Arabidopsis thaliana: one gene and its partners. The protein of the gene in region 1 interacts with the protein of each later gene in a pairwise test. Each region holds a gene or a part of one and is shown on either strand. Other genes may lie near its edges.

Region 1 (6,176 bases):
AGAACTTCTTAGTGGCCACTACACCAGTATTTTACTGGTACAAGTATTTTTCTAAGAATATTATAGATTCGTAAGATCTACAAAAAAATGTAGCGATTGAAGAAAAAAAAAACATGAACTCGATAGCTTAAAACACCGAAAAAAAACGAGTGGGCAACAAATTTTTGGTAATAAAAAAATAATCGAGTGGCGTAGAATAACAAACCATCCATATCCCTATCCTTCTCTCTATTACCTAAACACAACGACACGTGTCTGACTTTTGGAACATCTCAGAGGACAACACTTTTGTGCTGACTAGGCAATAAAGTGCAAAACAAAAGTGTTGTTTTTTTTCTCCTCTTTCATTTTGAGACAGTTGTACCAAACAATTTCTAATTTGGATAAATGGTTTTTTTTTTCATTGAAGACTTCCAGATATTTATTTTACAATTTTTGTCCTTCACATAAAATACCTATTTAATTTTGTTTTGAAGTTGACGGCTACTGAAATTTAAATATCTCTTTCTTCTTTTTAAACAACGCTCGTGTATGTTTTTATTTAGCTACTCGCTTTCTTTGCCACATACTTGGGTCAAAAGAGAGCACTCCAAAAATATATGATCTGTCATTTGAAACCTAACTATTCCTGATAAGTCTAGGTTCATAGTCTAAAGTTCTTGGCCCTCATTTAGGTATAAATAGTCTAAATTTAAAGTATTTAAGCAAAAACAATACTGAGAAGAAAAAAAAAAAAAAAAAAAAAACTACGGTAAAATTTCTAGAAATGTTTAAGAAAAATCTAACTAAAATCAAAAGAATAGCGTATTAAAATACTAATTTTATTGGATTAACTTAATTTGATGAAAATGTCTCTTAATATTTATGGCGATATGTATGTTGGTTGGACTTTGAAATTGTTTTTATAGATTTAATAAGATGAACATTTTGTTCTTGCTTGAGAGTGGCTGGGTACACAATTTTTTTCACTTTGTTCATGCTAAAATTCAGTTTTGTCTTCTTATATTTACATCTAAGTTTATGTTTGATTATCTGAAACCCAAATTATCAAGTATTTTACGATTTTTTGAAATAAACGAAATCTGTTTATTTCCTTATTCAAATTTTATAAAATTTTGTAAGAGTGATTTGATTGAAAATGGACAACATTTGGAGACATTTTCAAAAAAAAATGTTATAAAAGGTTATTTTAAAATGCTTTCAAAAATATCAATATAATAAAGAGCGTGATTATATTTTAATTCAGAATTATTTAAGTGATCGAAAATATCATAAATTTTGTATAATTAGAGCATTTGTTCTGATATGCGACATATTTTACTATAATTTTATAGGAACCATATAAATTTAATTTTTTAACTAATTCCAGTTGCACATTTGTTTAGATGAAAATGATTTGATTGCTGCATGATATAATTTATTTACATTTAAGCATATATTTTATTCTATTTTGATGAATTGTGTGGTATTTTCGTACTTAAATTTTGATATATTGTATGTAATTGTACAACATACTCAATCATATGTTATTACTTCTAATAATTTGAATATGGACATACTCAGAAAGGTATCAAGGGCTCTTTCTCTAGCTATTGTTTCTCATATAATCTTTTCAAAATCATATATCATCACCAACTATACTCATCATTCTCGGGTACTATGAGCTCTAACTAGTGGAATGGTACTAGAACTTTGACACACCGTCTAGTTGAGATTATAGAAATTAAAGATTATGTTATATATAGTAGAAACAAAGTAGGCCAAATTCTTATAGAAAAGAATAAACAAAATTAATATAAAAGATAAATGAAAAAACGGTCTTGAATTATAAACAATTTGCTAGGTGTGATTCAACATTGTCTTTATTCAATACTTGTTGGGTCATAAACATTCAAATTGCATATTATTGTTACTCTAGTATTCAAATTGCATATTATGTTTTATCTAAACTAACTTATATATTTATTTTGATAAACATGTCATATGATATTAAACTTATTTTCAATTGATCATCTTCTAAGTTGATGCATTTTAGTATTTTATATTCAAATTTTGAGATCTTAGTATGTAATATATTTTCAGGTTTTTACTATTCATCAGTTTGATGATGCAAATATACATAGTACGAATAAAATGAGTGAAATTGTTTAATTATATGATCAGGAAGAAAAAATAATATTCCAAAATCCAAATTTTAGTGGGTAATTCTTAGCACAAAAACAAATTTTGTTTCCAAATATATCACATATTTTTCAATGTTCCACAAATAGCATTAATTGTTGAAATTTGTTATGAATAAGAATATGTTCTATAACATTATATGAATTAGAATTATCAATAGATAAAGTGTGTCAACTCAAATCGCTAAATTGTTGAAAACAATTTAATAATATATTCATTTAATATATTCTCATGTCAATATGATATGATTAGATCTATTTAGTGAGATCTTATTTAATTGTTAATTCTAATAAAACAAAAATAGTGATTATATTACTAATAAATAATATAATTGTTTAATCTTATTTTATGGAACTGTATTTCTCAACTTCAATTAAATACTGTACCTAAACCTAAAATTAAATATGCAATCAACTTGATTAATAAAAAACAACAAAATGGGGTAAGAAGTAAACAACGTTGTTAAACAAGACACGCGCTCACCAGTCGCGAGTTTGGCAATAATCATGAAATGAGCTTCTTTAAAAAAACTTTCTAGTAGATAAATTAAACAATTAAAAATCTCCGACAAGATTTAACAAAGAACAGATAATATCTTCTCCGCAAAGACAAAAGTGAAAGCGAAGAAGAAATCCTCCACGTGTCATTAGCATCTTTTAACCTGAGCCACATGATACTAGTTTCTCGAAACCCCTCTTTACGCTTTTTCACCCAAATTTTTATAAAAAGAAAAACATTATGCTTACGTGGCTTATCTTCTTCTTGCTCTTTTAAAGTAACCCCTTGACTCTGCTCCTTTCATAAACAACAACTCTCTCACCAATCTCAAAACAATTCTCTCTCTCTTTATTCTTCTTCTTCAGCTTCAGATTTCAGATCTTAAATCTTCAAGTCTTCTTCTTCTTCTTCTGCAACCATGGCTATGCAGGTTTGAGATCTATCTTCTTTGTTATTCTTTATGCAATCTTGATCTTGGTTTTGTTACTGTTGTTATGTTTCAAGTCTTGTGGAATCCAGACAGATTTAACCTAAACTTAGGTTTATGTCCGAGAGAAAATAGGTTATTTTGTTATCTAATTTCAAGTTTAATCTCTTTGTCTGAGAGAACTTGGAACTGAAGATTATTCGATTGTGGCAGGTTAAAAATTGTGTTAATAGACCAGGCGATTATGTGGGATATTATGGTCGGTTGTTTTAAAGAGAGATTACTTCTTTCTTAATGTATTGATCCGTATTAGGTAAGAACATGTCTCTAATCCCCTAATTATTACTGGTGGTCTACCTCTTCTAGTTGCGTATTAATTAGTTTTATTAGACTCTTTGTAACATTTAATTACTCTTACAATATATTAAGAGACTAATTGTGTTTTCTTACTTTGTGATTATAGGAACGTTGTGAGAGTTTATGTTCTGATGAACTTATATCTTCCTCAGATGCCTTTTACCTCAAGGTACTAATTTTGTTTCTTAATCTCTTGTTTACTCTTGATTGGTTTTGAACTTAAATATGAGGTTAATTTAGGGTTTGTTTTGTTTATAGACAAGAAAGCCTTATACCATCACTAAACAAAGAGAGAAATGGACAGAAGCAGAGCATGAGAAGTTTGTAGAAGCATTGAAACTCTATGGCAGAGCTTGGAGACGAATCGAAGGTGTGTGTGCTTATCTGACTTTAGAGAGTCTAATGCACATTCTAATCTAAGTTTGATGAAGATATAAGAAAACTACTTGGACCCTAGTAATGAGTAGAGATCTGACTTTTGTTGGTTCTTCTATGGAACAGAACATGTTGGAACAAAAACTGCAGTTCAGATTCGAAGCCATGCGCAGAAGTTCTTTACTAAGGTTTGCCTTCTTGCAGACCCTTATACATGAAAAAGTTTCAACCTCTTCGTGTTAAGCAAGGTCTAATTCAAGTTTTTCTTATTAGGTTGCTCGCGATTTTGGTGTTAGCTCTGAGTCCATTGAGATCCCGCCTCCAAGGCCAAAGAGAAAGCCGATGCATCCTTACCCTAGAAAGCTTGTGATTCCTGATGCAAAAGAGATGGTATACGCTGAACTAACCGGATCCAAGCTGATTCAGGATGAAGATAACCGATCTCCAACATCGGTTTTATCAGCTCATGGCTCAGATGGATTAGGTTCCATTGGTTCAAATTCACCTAACTCTTCTTCAGCTGAGTTATCATCTCACACAGAGGAATCATTGTCTCTAGAAGCAGAGACCAAACAGAGCCTTAAGCTCTTTGGAAAAACTTTTGTAGTTGGTGATTACAACTCTTCAATGAGTTGTGATGATTCTGAAGATGGCAAGAAGAAGCTATACTCAGAAACACAGTCTCTTCAATGTTCTTCTTCTACTTCAGAAAACGCTGAAACAGAAGTGGTAGTGTCGGAGTTCAAAAGAAGTGAGAGATCAGCTTTCTCTCAGTTAAAATCGTCGGTGACTGAGATGAACAACATGAGAGGGTTCATGCCTTACAAAAAGAGAGTAAAGGTGGAAGAAAACATTGACAATGTAAAATTATCATATCCTTTGTGGTGAAGTGTTCGTTTGTGTCAAGTCAGTTGTGTAAACTCTTTTGATCTCAACATCAGATTATGTGTATAATGTCAGAGTATTAGGGAAAGTTTTTTTGGATTAGATTCGTAAGATCACTCCAAAGTTTCGTGTCTTTCCATATAACCAGTTAGAAATTGAGATCCTTGTACTTAAACATTTTTATTTGATCAATCAAATCTTCTTGATAACTCTAAATTGTTGTACATAATAGTAGTCTCTATCAAGCATTTCATTCGAAAGGATTAACAAAAAAGATTAGGTTTACAAAAAATACATCAAAAGCAAATGTTTGAAACATAGAAACAAGTAATGCATCATAAACCCTAAGACTAGCTTCAAGTCTCTGTGACGGTTTCACTCTGTTTCAAGATCTTCCTCGTACGGTACTCGTCGACACAAAGGACACGACCTCTGACGCTTAAGCCACTCAAAGATACAATTTTGATGGAACAAATGGAAACAGTCAGGTAACAGAATGATGTTATCATCATGACTCTCCGAAAAGTCCTCCAAACAAATCGAACAAGTGGTTTCTTCTTCATCTCCCAAATCAGTCAATTCCATTGTTTGTTCCTCAAGCAATCTTTGAAACGTATCTGTCGACCTAACAGCAATAGACGAGAACATAACATCTCTTGTCACTTCCACGTATAAGGACACACTAAAAGGTTGGGGAATATGAGCACAATCCAAAACGATCCTTTCGCTCAACAATCGACAAAACTCAGTATGTGTGATGAACTCGTCAAGGTCTTGATAGATGTGATGTGAACTGAGACATGATGGTTTCAATTCGATTTTAGTCATAAGTGGAGCCGCGAACGTTCCCAAACACATTACGACACCGTTTTGATCTTCAGCTAACTCGTTGACCACATCTTGTAGATTGACGAACACGGTGTTTCTAAACCCTTGATCTTGTGGTAGGATCATTGCTGTTGTAGTAATCTTTACGGACACCAAATTACTATATGTATTCATGGTGGAAGAAGAAGAAGAAAAAGAAGATTCAAAGCCTAACTTTTGATATGAAGAGATAAGATTGTGAAATCAAAGAGAAGAGATCGATGAAATTGACTTAAAGTGAGGCTGAGTGAATTAATATATATATAGAGAGATATTTTACGTTTCGACGCTTCAGTTGGAAAAAAGGAAATCATAAACAAATTTGTTGACGAAAAAGGAAATTAAGGAAAGGAAAACTTTGACCAAAAAAGAAAAGAAAAGGAAAACATGAATTTAGTAAAAATAAAAATAAAAAGGAAACAATCAGTTTTTTGATAAAAAGGAAATTTAGATTAACAAAACGCGTCAAATTTTTTATTTAATTTTAATTAACTAAAGTCAGATAACAAATCAGACCGTTCCACATTATTTCGCAACATTACTTATACTAGATGAATTTCCATTACGCTTGGATTTGTTTTAAAAA
Region 2 (5,016 bases), on another chromosome or scaffold:
ATCAACTTCCGTGGTTACACAAACTCAGAACCTTAAAGACTATTCTTCTTTCTTTCCTATGGAATCTAATCTTCCAAAAGTGATAGAAGAGGTGACGTGTTGTTTAAGTAATATATCAAAATGTTTCATTTATGATAAAGAAGAATGTTTTTCATTTATATTCCGTTCTATATGCAGGAATGTTCTGGTTTGGATCTATGCGAAGGGATAAACTTAGATGATGCGCCGTTGAATTTCAACGCAAGCAATGATATAATCGGATGTTCATCACTTGACAATACCAAATGTTACGAGTACGAGGATTCTTTTAAGGAAGAGAATAACATTGGCCTTCCTTCATTACTGCTTCCTACTTTATCCGGGAACGTTGTACCGAACATGTCACTTTCGATGTCTAACCTCACAGGAGAAAGCAATGCGACTGATTACCAAGATTGCGGAATTTCACCAGGGTTTCTCATAGGAGATTCGCCATGGGAATCGAATGTTGAAGTTAGTTTTAATCCAAAATTAAGGGATGAGGCTAAAAAGAGATACAAACAAAAGAAATCAAAGCGCATGTAAGTTTTTGAGACACATAATCAGAGTCATTATCATGCTTTTAAAACATAATCTCATTGATATTTGTGGTACCAATTTCTTCTAGGTTTGGGAAGCAAATAAGATATGCATCACGCAAAGCCAGAGCTGATACGAGAAAACGGGTCAAAGGGAGATTTGTAAAATCTGGAGAAACTTTTGAGTATGATCCGTCACTGGTGATGTGAACTAGTGAATCTTCACTGCGGAACTAAAGAATAATCTGACTCCATCCACGGGATTAACAGTTTCTTGTCGGAGAAGTAACAAAAAAAAAACATAAAATTCTCTTCTTGAGAAAGTATACAAGATCAAACTACAAAGACTTAAAATCATCGCAAAGGTGATTCCAAAATGGAGATTAAAAAAAAAAAAAACTGAAAGTTGCTCTTTTTACTAGAGAATTTCCACTGTTTTTTGATGCAACCACAAAACCTACCGGTCATACAGGCATTAATTAGGCATACAGCTACGAGACGATCAGACAAAATCAGAAACCAAAAAACAAAACAAGAGTCGTTGACTCTTTCCTACTTATAGCTCCTTAATCTCAATTACATGTTAATCATAGAAAAATATATCTTCTTTGTGTTTTGGACCACTCTCCACCTTCCATTTCACTTGATTGTAATTTGTAACGTTGTATTGTTTTCCTAGTTAAGAAAAATAAAGCCAAAGAATAAAGGCAGATTATGTTTGCCATAGGAAGATTTGTTCTTGATTTCTTATAGCTTACTATTGGGACCGCATTATTTTACTATTAAATCAATATGTTTTCTAGGTGTTCATATATTACTTTTAAGCTTTAGAATGAAAATATACATTCTTAGAACATTTCCAGAGAAAAAACCCTACCAATATTTAATCTTAATTACGCGAAAAACAAAACATAAAATCAGAGAAACACAAAGGGAATTTTGTGATCACTACTATGTTCTTCAATCCTTGCTATCATCCTTATCTCCGGTAAAACAACATTAAAATTATCACCGACAAGACATCGACGAGTTAGCTTCCGACAGGTCGTGCAGATCACGCGCCGGAGATGTCTCCGAGCTAGAAAATTAGCAGAATGGACCCATCGATCGCATTTCCTACAAAGGAAAGCTGCGTCTGCCTCACAATACACGGTGGCGTTCTCGCCGCAAAGCTCACAGCTTACCGGAGCTTTGTGACTCTCCGTGCATAGTCTTTGGCATCCTCCATTGTCGCTTCTTCTCTCTTCTTCTTTCTCAAACCCTCTACACATCTTTACTCTTTCTTTGTCTCTCTTGTGTTCAAGATTTAGGTTTATATAGGAATGATTGTTATTTAAAGCAAATGGATATTATGAAATTGTCATTAAACTGGTTGTACACGTGGAAAAATATTGACCTATTGGTTTGATGTGAGTGTCCCTAGAGGACCAAATTGTCAATAATTTAGTTATTTTCCCTCCACCAGACGATCTCTCGTCCTCATGTTTGATACACAAGTTTCGAGTAGTTGACTAGTATGACTCGCTCATTGTCACATATCACAATCACGTTCTAGAATGAATCATGAATCATAGCATTTTTGTGGTCTATAAAAAGGGAGTATATAATAATAGTATATGAATTTATTAGTGATTATTCATTAAACTACTGTGCAAGTTTTTGGTTTGTTTTAAAAAGATAATATATGAACGAGAAATTGTGTAACATACTATCATTTGTTTTCAATCATGTTTTCACTTAGATTATAATATTTCTTTTTTTTTTAAAACTATTTCTGTTCGTTTTTATAAATTTATGAGCAGTCATAACATCTACCAAAGAAATGTACCTTTTTCTTAATCTGAATTGATACAAGAGTCAAGAAAATCTACGAGTGTGGAATGAAGCGTTGAAGAAGATGAAGAAAGAGAGATACATTCAATTTAATGTAATTTAGGTGACTCATGATGGCCATGGGTGCAGTGCAGCCAATTACTCTAAATTTTACTATTAACTAGTTACTCGTTTAGTCTAGAAAAATTCATCGCCGAAGAAGTGGTTAGAGAATCAATGTCCCACTGATTACAATTATTAAAGATTATGTGACTATGTGAGCATTCAGAAATATATTGAATATCGGGTCGGGACAGTCTCTACGTTATTGGGTGTCTTCGTGTCATTGTGTGTGTGGTGGTTAACTATTTTAACTTTATATTTTATTACGAGTTTGCTCGCAAAAGGAAAAAAAAAGGAACTTCACTTGCATGGTTCATGATTAAAGTAATTTCTTTTAACGATTAAAATAATTAATTTCTTATTTTCTAGGAGACGTACATCCTCCGAAACTGTCAAAGTTGAATATCCCCTAATGGTTGCAGCGGTTAATGCCGTCAAATCTCTTTGTAGACTGAGCTGAATTTTTATTTACTATTTATAAATTGTGTATTGTAAGCAGAGATTTTTTTCTTAAAAAGTTTGTTGTGAACTAGCTACGAACCGCTTTAACATACAAATAGAGTTGGTCTGCGACGCGACAGTTTATTGTCTGCAGTAAAAATAGAACATACTAAACCGTTGATGAATATGTCCATCTCGACTATTATCACCATTTAAACTCGAAATGGTAACGTATACATAACAAATTTATGATATACTGATAAAATTATCGTTGATAATTAGTTGGTAAACACTTAGTTAATTCATCGTTAATTTAATGACGTTTAAATGATATATTTAATGATGATTCGACCAAATTTATCATCAGAATGACCAAAAAATTTCACGAATAAAAACTTTATGCGTTTCACAGTTTATGTTTTAGGTTTTGAATGAATGCAATGAAAAAAGTGAACTAAACCGCTAACGAAACATATCACTTTATTTTTGAAGCAGACAACAAACAACCACAGACCAAGTTTTTTTATATGTAAAAGCAGTACATAGTTAGTCCGATGCAGACTTGTTCTATTTTCTCAATCCATACTACTACGGATTATAGCTTATGAATGGTAAACAAAAAACGGTTTAAATCGTAAAAGGATTTGTCCGTCCTAACCACCGCAACTATTCGAAACTTCTCACTCTTTGAATTCTAATTTTAACTAATTAACCCTTAACTGTTAAATTACATTCGAGAAATATTCTTTATAGGTTCTATACTTCCAATATAGTTAGCTAATATCATCAAAAGAAGAAGTCGACGTGCGTGGCATCCACTCGCGGACGACTTTTCCTTCAACCCTTTACCTTTCGCAAAACCTAGATCTACGCCGCCTTTGTTTCTCCGGTCATCGGTGCTCTTCGCCGTGACCGGGAGAGGCCCCCCAGTGGCTCCACTCAGTGGTTTGGCTTCCTTCTCGTCGGCGATTTGACGAGTTAGCGTTTCGGATCTAGAGATTCTGCGATCTGTGCGCTTTACTCCCGCTTAGTTTTGGAAGTCGTTTGTGTCCCTGTCTCCTCGCATTACTCCGGTTTGTTTGGAGGCTCTGTTTGTGTGTTGCTGTTTTAGGTGTAGCTTGTAGTGCTGAGGTCTCAGCTCCGGCGATTCTGATCCTCTCTTTTAGTTTGCACCGGGGAAGTTGGTCTCTTTTTGGTGCTTTGTGTTGTGGCTGGTTGTTAGAGCTGGCTTCTCTAGCTGCTTGCAAGCTTCCTCTTTCCATTTCCCAAGCCAAAGGTGGTTACTTTGTTTGTGGACTGGTTTTAGTCCGAGACTAGTTTTGCCTCTGTAGGTTCTGGTGAGTTTCGTCTAGGATGGATTTGAGGGCTACGCTTGACCATGGGTTTGTGGACGGCCCGTCGCTGCCTATACCATCTCCGTGCATTTCCATGGCATGTCTCTCTTGAGTCCTCTTTGTTGCGTTCAAGTTTATCTGTCTCCTCTTGTCACTTATGTTATTACCTAAGCTCAACCACATCAGATTTGTGTCTATGTGTAATCTTGCGAAGATTTTGTTGAAGTCTCTGTTTTGCTCTTTGCGATTGGTGGTGTTAGTATGGCTCTTTGTGGTTAAGATGTTGCAAGATTCTAAGCTTCCGTTTCCAAGTGGGACTCGTTAGAGTGAGTAAGCATTGCCTAACACTTTTGGCTCGGCAATTCCGGAGCTCCCTGATGTGCTCGGATTCCCGTTGAAAGGGCTGCCATCTTGTTTTGGGGGTTTCGTGAGCTTCACTTATTTGTCTTCGTTGGGTTTCCTCTCCTAGCTCACTTTAGGGATTCATCTTATCTTGTTCCCAATCAACTTCTTTAACAAGAATCGAGGATTAGGTTCAAGAATGTTGTATGCTTCCATGCTTTTTATCCTTTTTTTGCCATGGAACCATGATTTGGTTACCCTTTATTGTGTAACCGAAATTTTCATTGTGATAATGAATATTTACATTCTTAGCAAAAAAAAAAAATATAGTTAGCTAAGTTGACAAATGAGTTTTAGTATCCAAATCCGTATGTTATTGGGCTTGACATATTGAGCCCAAATGAGTT
Region 3 (5,439 bases), on another chromosome or scaffold:
ATTTACATATTCAAGCCGTACCACAACCGAACATTAATTAGTACTTTAAAATCCTATACCGTATATTATATTTGTCAATTCCTAATAAGGGAATAACAAAGAGAAAAAAACAAGGTCTCACAAATTTAAAATTCACGAATTAAGACATCGAGTGGACCTACACTCACAGTCCATTTGATGTCGTTATTGACCTATTAATAAAATGGGCCTGGCCCAATATACTTGTGGTACAATTAATACCAAGCAGAACTCACATGTAACAGCCCACACATTTTTGATATTTCCAATATTTTTTATTAAGGTTTAACCCAAAAAATAAAAAATAAATAACAGTGAGGATATTTGAGAAATCCTCCATTTTGCATCAGCTAAGGTCAAAGAGAAAAGAGAAAAATTAATGCCTCGAATTCAAGTTTCATGTAATTGTTGCGTTTAGTATTTACAACATGATCAATATCAATACATCATTATAATAAATCGAATCTAATTTCAGAAAGCTAAAGTGGAAAATGAAAGGTCAAAACGTTACAGTTATGGAGTCTGTTACTAATATTATCACATGATAAAAAGAAAGATGAGAATATTTGAATCCTCCATTTTTCTTCAAAAGTAAGATTCCGCACCTTGAAAGAGATTATTCAACAATAAGAACGAATACTGTTTGATTAAATGCTATAATTGAAAAATAATGAGTGTGATTAGCTTTGATGGGTAGGTTAATTAGCTACTATTATTAAGCACTTGGTGCATCTTAATCCAAGTTTGTTGGGGTGATTAATTGGGTAATTAATCTATTCCTAATGATGAATGAAGCAAACTATTCAACATCAAACTAAGCATTTACCAACTAAATATCTCAAGTTTCTAGTAAATAAAACTTCAGTTTAATTGAGAGTAAAATGAGAAACTTTGAATAATTAACGTAATGGAAATCATCTGTTCCTAAAGTTAATTTGTCGACGAATTAATTATCATTTTGGTCTTTTGTCTCTCTTGAAATCATAATCAACTTTTGGTCAAAATCCTTTTTTCATATAATTGTAATTAGAAAACACCCGGCGATGCATGTGACAGACTATGATTTCTTACAGTAGAAAATGTAATTGCCTTTTTGTTCATCGAATGGCAATTAAGTTTCAAAAAGACAAAAACTAATATTCTTGATCCAAAGAAATTCAACTATGCAACCAATTCTTTTCTATAAAGTTAATCATGATATAAAATGTACACAGATATAGAGAACTTTTATTTTCTGTAATGATATCACATAACTACGTACTGTAATTATCACAATCTGACCATTTATACCGTAAAAGTTTCAACAACTATATATATGGTATGATGATTATTATATCTTTCTACACAATGTTTTGGTATGTCACTCACTTAGTCACTTCCTCTCTTCCATTTCCGTTATCCACTACCGTTCAACAAGTGGCATGTCGTTCTCGCGAAATCTGCCTCGTTCCATAAATCAATCTCCGGTATATAGTAATCTGGTGTTAAACCGGTATTACAACCGGACCGGTTCAGTCCATGATACGGTGATTGTGAAGTCTCATTAACGGCTGGTATTGAATACGAGTTGGGCCCATTTAACTGTGAGGCAACGAGCCGATCCAAAGCGGCCCAGCTAGTGATGAAGCTGGGATCCATAACTTTGCTGACGTGGCAGTTGTTGACTTGGTCGTCGATTAACCACTGATAACTCGTGATGGTGGTGTTGTTATGGCATTCGAGGTTAGGGAGTTTTAAGAAAGGGTCTAAAACTATCTCTCCTTTACAAGATTGCCCCATAACTTCGAGAAGTTGCTCGATAGTCTCCTCATTGAACGACGGCGTTTTCACCGAACTCGCCGGGCTACTACTAATCATGTTTTTGCAAAGGTTATTTTTCTTGAAAACACGACACACCACCCATCCTTCGTCACTTCCTATGACATCACACGTTTCTACGTTGACGTCATGATCGCCACACGAGGAGATTAATACACTCTCGTCGAGTCTATATTCGTGCATGATCCAATCGGATTTCTGACCATGAGGGGCTCGACCTTTGTAGAAGACAAGCGTCTTTCGCATCCCGATTCTATCACCATTGGTATATATGGTCTTGTCACGTCCCGTCGCTTTCCAAAATCCGACCGTGGTGGCTCTGTTGGTTCTAGTCCCGGTGGGATACTTCTTGTCCTTATGGCTATAAAAGTACCAATCGTTTTGCGGCGTCGTTCCAATCTTACACATCTCTACATAGAAAAAACAAGAGTTGTGTTAAGTTTTGACTGAATTTTGTTACTGCAAATTTTATTATCACAAAAAGTATATATTACTCTGCAAAATTTCCTGAATTCAGAGCTTTAGTTCTTGACTCAACACATGCATTAAAAAACTAATTTAATTAATATATACAAGCCCTATTAATACGTTTCATCAAGAATAAAAGATAAATGATGAACCTTGAATATCCCAAGGCTCGAGCTTGTTGAGATCAATGTCAGGAATAACATCGAGATCGATCTTGATGTTAGAGATTTTCTTGCGGAGGTAATACTTCAAGAGCTCTTCCTCGGTTGGGTGAAACCTAAAGCCAGGAGGTACTTGTGACTGTCCGTTTACTGATATGTTCATTGCTAAAGATAGAAAAAGGAGAAGAAAATAGAACGAGTTTATAACTAACCAAAGTATGTCTATATATATGTGTATATTTTTTACATCAACTCTGCAAAAAAATAAATAATAGTACATGCATGAGAAAATGCATGTGTTCTTTTGCTCTCATATTTTTAATTCCTTTGTTAAGTTTTCTTTTTAACAGTGGAGTATTATTTTTCCGAATATTTGATGTTTTCATTATAAGTTCGCATGAGCCGCCACTTACAATTAAACATATGAGCCTCTAAGAGCTTGTTTTAATAATTTGAAAATGTCTGTTTTATACTCATAGTGAATGCACTTCTCGAAAAATTACTCCCTATGAGTTTTTACTTAATTCTTAGTTCATACCAAGTATATCCAGCCAAAACAAAAAAAAAAAAGTATATCGATCAAGCTTCTTCGGCCTTTGGTTTTGCCGACTTTTCGCTCTACTAATTGCCTAGATTAGCATGTTAGTTTTGTTTTGTTTTTGCTTTTATCCAGAAATCTCTCGTAATGGTTGATTCGTCATGAGTTCACCTAGTATTTAAAAATCTATCTATTTTTCTGCATGATTCAGTATCTCTTTAACAAAGAAAAAAAATATGATTCAGTAAATTAGATCCGTTATAAATACAATGTTGCAATATTTCATCTAATAAAAGTTATAGTAATGTCTCTCTTTTTTTTTTATTTTTTTTTGGGTCAAATATACTAATGGTCTCTTTATTAAACATCGAAATTATTTGCTCTTTTTGTCCGGTGAAATTGTTTATGGCAATTTCGGAATAGTGCGTGAGAGAGAGCGGTGGGACCATGCACGTAGCTATTGGGTAAAAATATGGTCCACGCGGGATCCACATATCAACTATAATGTAGGAAGCAAGCCCACATCGCTCCGATGACCCTCGACCTTAAAAATCTCTATGGACAAGACATTCCTCATTTTATTTTTATTTTATATAGAAACGAATAGTGTTAACAAAAAAAGTGAATGAAGGGTGATGGCAACAAAAAATGTATGTGATGTGATGAAGAAAGACTTTATACATTATTGTGTTAAATACGACTTTAAAGCTCGTAGCTTGTTCTTGTTGAAGGTGATGCGAAGATAATGATATACTACATGATAATCCACAACCTCCTTAGAAGATGGAGAGAAAGAAAGAGATTAAGATCTGATTCAAGAAGCGTTTATCAAATATATGTGAAGTTAACATTGCAACGAATGTCTAAGATTCGAATATTGTGCATGTGGTTCACTCGAACTAATCATAAAGTTAACCTATCTGGTATTCAGGAAACGACGGTGGATTCGATTCATCCAAATTAAAATTTTAAATTATTGTATTAATTTAAACTTGAATGACGGCATGAATCTAGATGAACAGTTGTTTACAACTGTAAGCGAGGAGGTATCTACGTATGTTGTAGATTTTGTGGGGGCCTATTTACAAAAGGTTATTTTCTGAATTTCCTTTTTCTTACACATGGTTTTGAGATTATAATAGATTAATACGCAAGGGCCGTTCAAATTTGCCATGTGCTATAGGATAACATTGTTAATAAAAAATTAAATCATGAGATTAAAATTTTGAGTTAATGAATATTCTGAAATGTCTTTTTCATTTTTCTAACATGGTTCTGAGTTTATAGCAGAGTAATATATAATCTGATTAAAACGAACGTTGTTGCGGCACGGAGCTATGATAAATTGATGATAATTAGTGACAAAAAACTAAAATGATATAATTGAAGTATTACAAATCGTAATTTTTCTAGAAGATGAAGGAAGTTTGCATGGGAAGCAATCTTAATTTGAGGTGTTTCAAAATTTATTAAACCCTTAATGGTGAGACGTCATATAACTATATATATTAGCACTCGTGCTTGTCGGACTTATAACTTTAGCCTAATCTTAAACTGTTTCTGGCCAGCTTTGTGTCATTGGGCCTGAAATAAAAGAGTTTCTCCCTTTTGTTTTGCTCTTCTAGACTTTTGGCATTGAATAGGGAAGATTAAATAATCTCTAACTACGAGTCTACGACTTCATAAATTAATTGTTTCATGAGAGATAACAATGATATTTCAAATATATCTACGTTGATAAACTTATATAATCGTTCCAAGTCTTCAATGAATACGGAAATCAACATACTAATTTAAATGCTTAAATCGTGAAACAGATTAAAACATAAACGTAGTTTATTCATAATTCGAAATTTTACCACAATTTCCCTTTAAAGCTACTCGTAACGCTTAGCTGGTCTGAATTCGCTCTCGAATGAACTCCTCCGCCGCAGCCGTAACCGCCACACTTCGCCACCGTCCTCACACTTTCCACCAACGCTTCCGTTTCCACATCCTCCGCAAGAATTTCCGCCAACTGCTCCGGACTTATCACAAGCCTCACCTTCCACACTCCACAACCACCGCCACTCAAAGCCGCCATTATCGGCGTCTTCCCGAAAGACATTCTGTACGGCGTTGATAGTTGGTCGGAGGAATCCAGTTGAGCGGTCGCGGCTGCGGAAGAAGAAAGAGGAAGGAGGTAGTAGATGTTACCGGGAAAGAGTTCTTCGCCGTGGAGAAGCGGTGGAGATGAGTGGCGGAGGCTTAAAGAGTCGTGGATGACATGGCCGGGAAATTCGTTGGTGATGAATTCGGCGAAGATGGGAGGATGAAGCTCCATCACGCCACCGTTTGGAGTCACCACTTTTATCAACGAATCATCTTTATCGTATAATTTTCTTGAACCACCATTGCCTTTGAATACGCAGTTACCCATTTTTGCTACATAAGTTA

Evidence for each region. Proteins that work in one complex are often made in the same cells at the same time.
Region 2: the proteins of RVE2 (region 1) and BBX30 interact in a two-hybrid assay, tested with the Arabidopsis thaliana proteins (one large-scale study listed by BioGRID).
Region 3: the proteins of RVE2 (region 1) and NAC066 interact in a two-hybrid assay, tested with the Arabidopsis thaliana proteins (one large-scale study listed by BioGRID).

Annotation. Positions count from the first base shown.
Region 1 is NC_003076.8:14,749,894-14,756,069, reverse strand, and holds RVE2 (Homeodomain-like superfamily protein), read left to right. Parts: upstream 1-2,981; 5' UTR 2,982-3,097; coding exon 3,098-3,109; intron 3,110-3,569; coding exon 3,570-3,632; intron 3,633-3,721; coding exon 3,722-3,833; intron 3,834-3,964; coding exon 3,965-4,026; intron 4,027-4,111; coding exon 4,112-4,726; downstream 4,727-6,176. Other genes in the region: AT5G37250 (RING/U-box superfamily protein), read right to left, coding at 5,099-5,725. UniProt on the Arabidopsis thaliana protein: Positive regulator for cold-responsive gene expression and cold tolerance. Part of a regulatory feedback loop that controls a subset of the circadian outputs and modulates the central oscillator. Negatively self-regulates its own expression.
Region 2 is NC_003075.7:8,705,693-8,710,708, reverse strand, and holds BBX30 (B-box type zinc finger family protein), read right to left. Parts: upstream 1,869-5,016; 5' UTR 1,829-1,868; coding exon 1,475-1,828; 3' UTR 1,227-1,474; downstream 1-1,226. Other genes in the region: BBX9 (B-box type zinc finger protein with CCT domain-containing protein), read left to right, coding at 1-91, 178-560, 647-767; AT4G15245 (uncharacterized protein), read right to left, coding at 3,661-3,941, 4,003-4,195. UniProt on the Arabidopsis thaliana protein: Developmental regulator acting by forming heterodimeric complexes, that sequester CO and CO-like (COL) proteins into non-functional complexes. Engages CO and the transcriptional repressor TPL in a tripartite complex.
Region 3 is NC_003074.8:22,927,780-22,933,218, forward strand, and holds NAC066 (NAC domain protein 66), read right to left. Parts: upstream 2,678-5,439; 5' UTR 2,629-2,677; coding exon 2,457-2,628; intron 2,247-2,456; coding exon 1,414-2,246; 3' UTR 1,227-1,413; downstream 1-1,226. Other genes in the region: AT3G61920 (UvrABC system protein C), read right to left, coding at 4,859-5,422. UniProt on the Arabidopsis thaliana protein: Transcription activator of genes involved in biosynthesis of secondary walls. Together with NST1, required for the secondary cell wall thickening of the anther endocethium, which is necessary for anther dehiscence.